Cricetulus griseus: one gene and its partner. The protein of the gene in region 1 interacts with the protein of each later gene in a pairwise test. Links are inferred from orthologs where the notes say so. Each region holds a gene or a part of one and is shown in the gene's direction. Other genes may lie near its edges.

Region 1 (4,294 bases):
TGTAAAAGAATGAAATATGTTCCTGATTTCTCTATTTCTCATGCTACTGTTCATAGTAAAGTTCAACAATACCACTATAGGAACATAACTACAAGGTCAAGATTAAGATGCTTTTCATGGTCCCCCCAAAAAAATCTGTCTATTTTTAAATGGTAATACTTTCAGCCAAGTTGCTTCTAACATGAATATGCTTCTAACATGTCTAATACTTATGTTTCCACAAACTCTAAGGATTCTTGTAAGTTCCAGGGAGCCGAATCAGATCCAAACAGGTCAGATTCACTTCATGTAATATTCAACCTTTCCCCGGTCCCAAATTCCCTTCATTCATCTTGGGACTCCTCAGGAACCCCTCCCTCATCTTACAATCTTCCCCTCAAGTGACAGGATCTAAGAAAAAATTTTTTTCTAAACTTAACCTTGTCCTCTGCTCTGTCAACATCTTGCCAGGTCTAAGAGGCATCAGGGAGTTCCATACAGCCTGGACTTCAATGAAACAACCAGCTTCCCCAGGACGTGGCAGCACCCCAACCTTCTCGGGTCCCCCAAAGATGGTCAACGCCCCCCACATCAGCAGGAAGCAGTCTTGAGAATTCGACGCCCTTATTCCTTAACCTGCCATGTCTAACACCCCACCTTTTTAAAATAATAAGTAGAGGTGGGAATGAAAGGTTCAGGCATTATGCTGGCCTGCTCCTGTTACCTGGTGGAACAGGCAGTACCCTGGTCAGCCCAAGATTCCATGGGAACTAAGTCTGCACGCAGATACAGAGGACCCCTTTAAAAGGACAGGTCCCTGCCCATTTATGCTCTCTGTTTCCTCTCTGTTTCCCCACTCTGCTTTGTCTCTGCTTTCTCTCTACTCTGTCTCCCACCTATGCTCTCTCTCTGTCTCTCTATGGTGACCGACCATGGCAGTCAGCCATTACCCTGTTCCTCTTCTCTTAGTCTCCCTACTCTGCCGGGCCTTATAATAAACTTATAGTCTTATGTCTCATGTCTCAGCATTCTGGGTGCTGGGTGCTGGGGATTGTGAGTTCAGAGCTTTGCACTTGCTAAGCACACACAATCGCGGAGTTCCCCAGCCCTGCTTTTTTAAAAATGGAATAGTTAATGCATAAATACGTGCAATCATGTGAGTTACAGTTATTAAAACCTCTGTACCCACCAGTAATCCAAGACATCAGTAGGAATTTACCAAAGACTTGTAATTACCCAGACCAGCTGTTACTGGCCTCTGCTGCCTACCGGGCAACACCCAGGGAGCACTGAAAATCATTTCTTTTTCCCTCGGGGCGTCTCCCTGGATGATTTTGATGTGCCCTATTTGAGAAACATGGGCTTAATTCTCCTCTCTCCTATTCCCTTGGTTTTCACCCCCACCCCGGGGACCGCCACCCTGACTCTGGGTCATGACTCACTCTGGCACCTAGCGACACTTGCTGTCGATTTTCCTCCTACCGCGAGGGGGCGCCAGAACAACAACTTCCCTTCTTTTTCCTGGTGAGCGGCTGCGTCGTGCAGGAGGTACTTTGGCCTTCGCGGCCTCCGTCGTCCCGCGGGCTGCCGGGCAACCGAAGGGGAAACGGCTGGCGTCGCTGCCGCTGGCGCCACAGAACTCTCGGATCTGGTGAGCGCGTGCTCGGGCTTAGGCCGGAGCCTCTTCTTGGAGAACTTGGGGTGCAGGGAAACACAAGTCAGAGGCTAGGCTGGGCCGAGACGTCCGCTGTCTTCGCTGGTCGGAGGTCTCCGGACACCGGATGGGGTGCATGTCCGGTGCTCGCACACACTGATAACTAAGTCATCGCCTTTAGTTACTTTTGTTGCTCTGGGGACAGGGCTTCCTGTTTTGCCCAGATTGGCTTTGAACTCCTGGACTCAAGTGATCTCGTCCTGCTTCGGCCTCCAAAGTCCTTGGGGCTGCTGGGGCCTGCCGCGGAGCCCTGCTTGCCCCTGTCATTTTATGCCTTTCCCGGCCTTGTCAGGAAGATGTCTGTGTCGGTAACGTCCCTGATAATGGCTGGCTCGCTGCCGGGCACAGTCCAGGTTCATTTAATTTGATAATTTGCAGCCTCAGTGGCACATCATTTAAAACGTGCGGGCCTGGGCCTCGTTGTAAAGTTTTGGGTGGCAATGTGGATCCTAAAGCTGTTATAAAGGTGCAGCCAAAGGGCGAGCGCCCTCGTAAAAGACAGGAGACCATCCAAGTAAGTTCCTGAGTTTGCAGCTGGCTTCGATTCTGCCCGCTGATGTCCCCTTCAGATGGCGCTCCCCACGCTGCCCTCTTATTGGCTCACCCGGAGACCCCTGGACAAGAAGGTAGCACGCCAACGCCAGCAAGAGCAGGAGGCCCAGCTTCGCCAGCAGTGGGAGCAGAACAGCCGTTATTTCAAGACTACGGACATCCACAGCTCCAAACTGGCCGAATGGAGTTCCAAGACCTCCTACCAAAGGAGGCAAGTATCAATGTCCTGCCTGCTGATTCCTACCATTAGCTGCTGGGGGCATGTGGCCTCAGGGCCTAAGTACTGTGGCTTGTGACAGCATGAGTAATCTATATGGTGATGCTATTCTAGCTGGAAATGGGGTGGTGTGTGTGTGTGTGTGTGTGTGTGTGTGTGTGTGTGTGTGTGTGTGTGTGTAGAATAACCAGTGAAATAACATGCATTTTGAAAGATAAAATCTATCAGTCATCTTTTCTGTAGGTGTTTGTGTTTAAATACCCGCCCCCCAACATATATAGAAATGCATATGAAACTGTGGCCTGGGTGTGGCTGATTCTCAGTGGGCTCCTTACCTAGCATGAACGCCTACCATCGTGAGAAGATGAAGGAGGAGAAGAGGATGAGTCTGGAAGCCCGCCGTGAGAGACTCAGGCAGCTTGTGCTGGAGGAGCAGGACCTGCTGGCCGCTGAGCTGGAAGAGCTGAGGTTGAATGTGAACCTGCAGGAACGAAAAATCAGGGAACAGCACAAGGATCTGAAGTCAGCCCGAGAAGAACGAAGGAAACTGGTAACCAGCCTAGACCCAAACAAGGTTGCAGAGTGGGAGTGTCTGAAGGCTGAACTGACCGTTGCATCTGTGGGGTTATTCTTGGGTGCCTTGGTCAGATGAGTTGGCCAGATGATTCTAAGAGTCCATGGGGAAAGCACTTTATTTATTTAGGGAGAAAAAGTCTATTTTAGCTCTTGGCTTTAGATGGTCTCAAGCCATTAGAAGTAGGGTTTGGTTTATAACATTCAATGACATGCCGGGGGGGGGGGGCTGCTTCCTCGAGCTAATTCCTCACCACTAAAGGCACCCAGGCTCCTCTGAATAGTGCCACCAGCTGGGGAGCAATTATTTTTGCTGTTGGTTTTTTGTTGCTGTTTTGAACGTGTCTCACCATGTAGTCCTGGTTTGCCTGGAACTTTCTTTGTAGACCAGCCTGACCTCAAAGTCACAGAGACCTGGCTGCCTCTGACTTCCTCATGCTGGGATGAAAGGTGAATAACGTGCCTGGCTGAGGGCAAGCATTTAAAATGTGAGCCTGTGATCAGAACCAGATATGGTAGAATGTTAAGGATTTGCCGGAGGTGGGGAGGACAGCTATGTTTTTTTCTGAGACAGGGTTTCTCTGTGAAGCTGTGGTGATGTATCATTTATGTTTAATAAAGATTGCCTGAAGTATCAGAAAGCAAAGCCAGACCACTATTTAGCTGTAGAAGCCAAGCAGTGGTGGTACACACCTTTGATCCCAGGACTCAGGAGATAGGCAAGTTGATCTCTCTGAGTTCAAGGCCACCCTGGCCTACATAAGAGTGAAGAGTAACAGAGCTCTCATGCCTTAGATCCCAGCACTTGAGATCACATGTCTTTAATCCCAGCCCTAGAGAGGTTTATAAAAGACAGGAGCCCAGTGTCTCAGGCTGAATTCTGAGGTTTATTCTCCAGCCACGCTGAGGAGAGGCAGCAGTCTGAGGCTTGGTGAAGAGTTCCTGGAGACAGGACAGCCCTTTCAACCTGAGGTAGAGCTAAGAGCTAATGACTGGCTTTGCTTTCTCTACCTACGACACTTTTTATTAAATCATAAATAATGTATCACCACCACATGTAGCCCTGGCTGTCCTGGAACCCGCTGTGTAGACCAGGCTGGCCTCAAACTCAAAGATCCACCTGCCTCTGCCTCCCAAATGCTGGGATTAAAGGTGTGTGATGGCTAACATCTGGTTTTCTTTCTGTAAGAATGGAGTTAATACTGGCCACAGAACAGGGTGAATGAGTTTGCCAGCAAGAGTGAGGGCCGACAAAAAGC
Region 2 (4,004 bases), on another chromosome or scaffold:
GCCACCAAGCCTAGCCTGGAACCATGGCCACCAAAAAGCTGCAGATCAGCCCCTGGGCAAGATGGTTTCCACATGGGGACTCTGAGGCCCCTGGTGGGTGGAGTGGAGGTGGGGGTGGGGACACACCAACAGTATTAGGAGCAGGATGGAGTTTCCCCCCACTGCAGTCCACTACAGACAACAGAGGCAGGCCCTGAGTAGGTGAGGCCAGAGGTGGGATGGAGGAGCTGTGCACTGGAATGAATGCTCTTTAGGTGCAGAGCCTCATGTTAGGGGCCAGGATTATGGAGGCGGGTGTGAAAGGCAGCTAGCCTGCAAAAGAAGGTTGAAGAGGCTGGCCACTGGGGTAGGGTCCTTCAGGCATGCTTCTTTGTGACTGTTATATATCCTGCAGGCCCAGAGGGGTGACAAAATCCTCCTGTACTGGTCAGTGAGTGAGGCAGGTCAGGTGTGTGGCTGCATAGGATATGGTTGTTGTGTACGCCACTGTGAACATCCTGGCGTCTCAAAGGCAGCCTCCAAATCCAAGTTAGATCCCATAGGAAAGGGAATCCTTTGATTTTTAGAACTTGAAAGGACTACAGCTACTCGGCCCAGACACGTCCCTGCGGAGAGAAAGCAGGCACAGAGAGGGGAGGTGAAGGGCTTTGGGTTCCACAGTGAGCAGCCCAGCTCTACAGCATGGCTTGTGAGAATCCCATGATGGCACCCCAAGACAGCCTGGGAGGGTATCAATGGGGCTTCTGCCACCTAAGGTTCTCACTGTGGGGCAGGGAGGCTTGAGAGGTTGACTCACTGCCTGAGGACGCGGCTGTCACAGAGCTGCCGGCATCAAGACCTCACTGTTGCTGTCCCCTCAGGCTTCAGGAACAGAAGCCTGGCCAGCCTGACTCAGTGCTAACTCTGATTTGTGTGTTTTTCTCTCGGCTCCACGCCCCCAGAACTGGGTGGGAACTCTGAGCCAGCACATGGAGGGGAGAGTCCACCCTGGGCTGAATAATCCAGAGTGGGGAGTTGGACGGGACTTAGTGACGAAATCCAGAGGGGAACCTAGAGTCAGCAGTCGAGGGCCCCGCCTTCCCCAGGTGCATATAAAGGAACCTGGTGTCTGAGGCACCCACAGCATCCACATCCTTCCCTGAGCTGCTCTCTCTTCCCTTCGCTCGCTGACTTGCTCACGCTCTCACCTCTCTGGACAACATGACCACCTGCAGCCGCCAGTTCACCTCCTCCAGCTCCATGAAGGGCTCCTGTGGCATCGGTGGCGGTTCTAGCCGCATCTCCTCTGTCCTGACTGGAGGATCCTGCCGGGCTCCCAGCACCTATGGGGGCCTGTCAGTCAGCTCCTCTCGCTTCTCCTCTGGGGGAGCCTGCGGCATGGGGAGCAGCTATGGTGGGGGCTTCAGCAGCAGCAGTTTTGGAGGATATGGTGGTGGCATTGGCTGTGGCATTGGTGGTGGCTTTGGTGGTGGCTTTGGTGGTGGCTTTGGTGGTGGTTTTGGTGGTGGCATTGGTGGTGGCTTTGGTGGTGGTGATGGACTCCTGGTGGGCAGTGAGAAGGTGACCATGCAGAACCTCAACGACCGCCTGGCCAGCTACCTGGACAAGGTGCGTGCCCTGGAGGAGGCCAACACTGACCTGGAGGTGAAGATCCGTGACTGGTACCAGAGGCAGCGGCCCGCTGAGACCAAAGACTACAGCTCCTACTTCAGGACCATCGAGGACCTGAAGAGCAAGGTGGGTGGCTCTGGTGGATGAAGTAAGAGGCCAGAGCTGCAGTGGCTTTTAGGAAGCCACTTCTAAGAGTCTGATATATAAGGAAGAAGACTGAAGACCTTTGGAGGCTCATGTTCAGAGTTACCCAGAGACGTGGTGGAGGGTCCCTTTCGAACACCCCTGCCTTAGCTGGAACAGGGACTCTGACTCTTAATGCTCTTGAGGCTACTTCATGTGGAAGCTCAGCTCCTTATCTCTGGGCCCAGGATAGGGGTGGTGACAGACAGAAGTGCACCCTGCATGCATACCCTGAGGTGGGTGGCGGAGTAGCCAGTTGTCTGCGGAAGCTGTTGGAGCTGACCTGCCAGCCATGTGATCACTGGATTTGGAGAGACTGCTTTGCCCACCTCTATCCTTCTGCCTTGAGCAGAGGGTCCCTGACTGGCTCATCAGACCACCTATCTTTTCACTACCGTTCTAGATTATCGCGGCCACTCTGGAGAATGCACAGCCCATTTTGCAGATCGACAATGCCAGGCTGGCAGCTGATGACTTCAGGACCAAGTGAGCAGCCATCGCACCGGGAAGAGGACAGAGGGCAGAGGGCAGAGGGAGGAGGGCAGAGGGCAGAGGGCAGAGGGCAGAGGGCAGAGGGCAGAGGGCAGAGGGCAGAGGGTTGGGCGCAGGGACAAAAGAATAGGGCTGTCCATCTGCAGCTCTGATCTCTCTCCCAGGTATGAGCATGAGCTGGCCCTGCGTCAGACCGTGGAGGCCGACGTCAATGGCCTGCGCCGGGTGTTGGATGAGCTGACCCTGGCCAGAGCCGACCTGGAGATGCAGATTGAGAATCTCAAGGAGGAGCTGGCCTACCTGAAGAAGAACCATGAGGAGGTGAGGCTGCTTCTGGTTTTGGAGGAGAAAGGCTGATTTAGTGACGTTCCCAGGAGAGATGACCACCTCCTTATGATCTTTCCTAGGAGATGCTTGCCTTGAGGGGTCAGACTGGTGGGGATGTCAACGTGGAGATGGATGCAGCCCCTGGCGTGGACCTGAGCCGCATCCTGAATGAGATGAGAGACCAGTATGAGCAGATGGCCGAGAAGAACCGCAGGGATGCAGAGGCCTGGTTCTTGAGCAAGGTGGGACTTACCTCCCCCGTACTCCTCCTGGACTCCTGGGCTGGGAGGCTTTGGAGAGACTCACACCTTGTCCTCTCTCCTGTTTCAGACTGAGGAGCTGAACAAAGAAGTGGCCTCTAACAGTGAGCTGATACAGAGTGGCCGCAGTGAGGTGTCAGAGCTCCGCAGAGTGTTCCAGGGCCTGGAGATCGAACTACAGTCCCAGCTCAGCATGGTATGAAGAATCCTGCCCCAGTGAGGTCCCCTAGTCACCATCCCTCAAGAGGGTCACCATCCAGTCCCACTTTTCATTCCATGAGACTGGAAGTGGTGTCATGGTATCCATTATAGAGAAGGAGAAATGAAAGCCAGAATGTTGGGAAAACATTTCTCCAATTTCCCCCAGCTGGGGTCAAGATCCCTGTGTCTATCAAAAAATGTGCCCAGACAGAAATGCAGAGACACAGTTGGTCATCACCACCAACCTTTCCCCCTTTCCGCCACTCACAGAAAGCGTCCTTGGAGAGCAGCCTGGAAGAGACCAAGGGCCGATACTGCATGCAGCTGGCCCAGATCCAGGGTCTGATCAGCGGTGTGGAGGAGCAGCTGGCTCAGCTGCGCTGTGAGATGGAGCAGCAGAGTCAGGAGTACAATATCTTGTTGGACGTGAAGACGCGGCTGGAGCAGGAGATTGCCACCTACCGCCGGCTGCTGGATGGCGAGGATGCCCAGTGAGTTGGCCCTTAGCCCCTGTTGGCAGCACCTCTGCCCCCTGCTACTCCCAGCACATCTAACGCTCCCATGTCTCCCTGTTTACTTCATCCCAGAATCTCCTCCTCGCAACACTCATCTGGCCATTCCTATTCTTCCAGAGAAAGAGAAGGTAAGGCCCCGGGGGTCCACAGACTGATTCTGTGATTTAAGGGCCAAACCCCTCCTCCCAGAGCCCCGACCCTCCCTTCCCCACTGAGTGGCAGTTTGCTTAGCTCCCAAAGCCCACCTATCTTTTCTCCTTTTTTTGCAGTCTTCTCCTCATCCTCTCGCCAGCCCCGGTCCATCCTTAAAGAGCAAGGCTCATCCAGCTTCAGCCAGAGCCAAAGCCAGAGTTCCAGGAACTGATCTGCCTCACTCCTGACCCACGCCAGCCTCACATCCTGGAGGCCTGAGCCA

Evidence for each region.
Region 2: the proteins of Tchp (region 1) and Krt16 interact in binary tests that used the Homo sapiens proteins (3 or more experiments, as listed by UniProt). The link is inferred for Cricetulus griseus from reciprocal best matches to the Homo sapiens genes TCHP and KRT16.

The regions. Positions count from the first base shown.
Region 1 is NC_048597.1:94,317,719-94,322,012, forward strand, and holds the start of Tchp (trichoplein keratin filament-binding protein), read left to right. Parts: upstream 1-1,485; 5' UTR 1,486-1,630; intron 1,631-2,227; exon of another isoform or gene 2,228-2,262; coding exon 2,263-2,456; intron 2,457-2,801; coding exon 2,802-3,012; intron 3,013-4,294. UniProt on the Homo sapiens protein: Tumor suppressor which has the ability to inhibit cell growth and be pro-apoptotic during cell stress. Inhibits cell growth in bladder and prostate cancer cells by a down-regulation of HSPB1 by inhibiting its phosphorylation.
Region 2 is NC_048600.1:112,353,962-112,357,965, forward strand, and holds Krt16 (keratin, type I cytoskeletal 16), read left to right. Parts: upstream 1-1,200; coding exon 1,201-1,737; intron 1,738-2,197; coding exon 2,198-2,280; intron 2,281-2,450; coding exon 2,451-2,607; intron 2,608-2,693; coding exon 2,694-2,855; intron 2,856-2,943; coding exon 2,944-3,069; intron 3,070-3,344; coding exon 3,345-3,565; intron 3,566-3,661; coding exon 3,662-3,717; intron 3,718-3,858; coding exon 3,859-3,953; downstream 3,954-4,004. UniProt on the Homo sapiens protein: Epidermis-specific type I keratin that plays a key role in skin. Acts as a regulator of innate immunity in response to skin barrier breach: required for some inflammatory checkpoint for the skin barrier maintenance.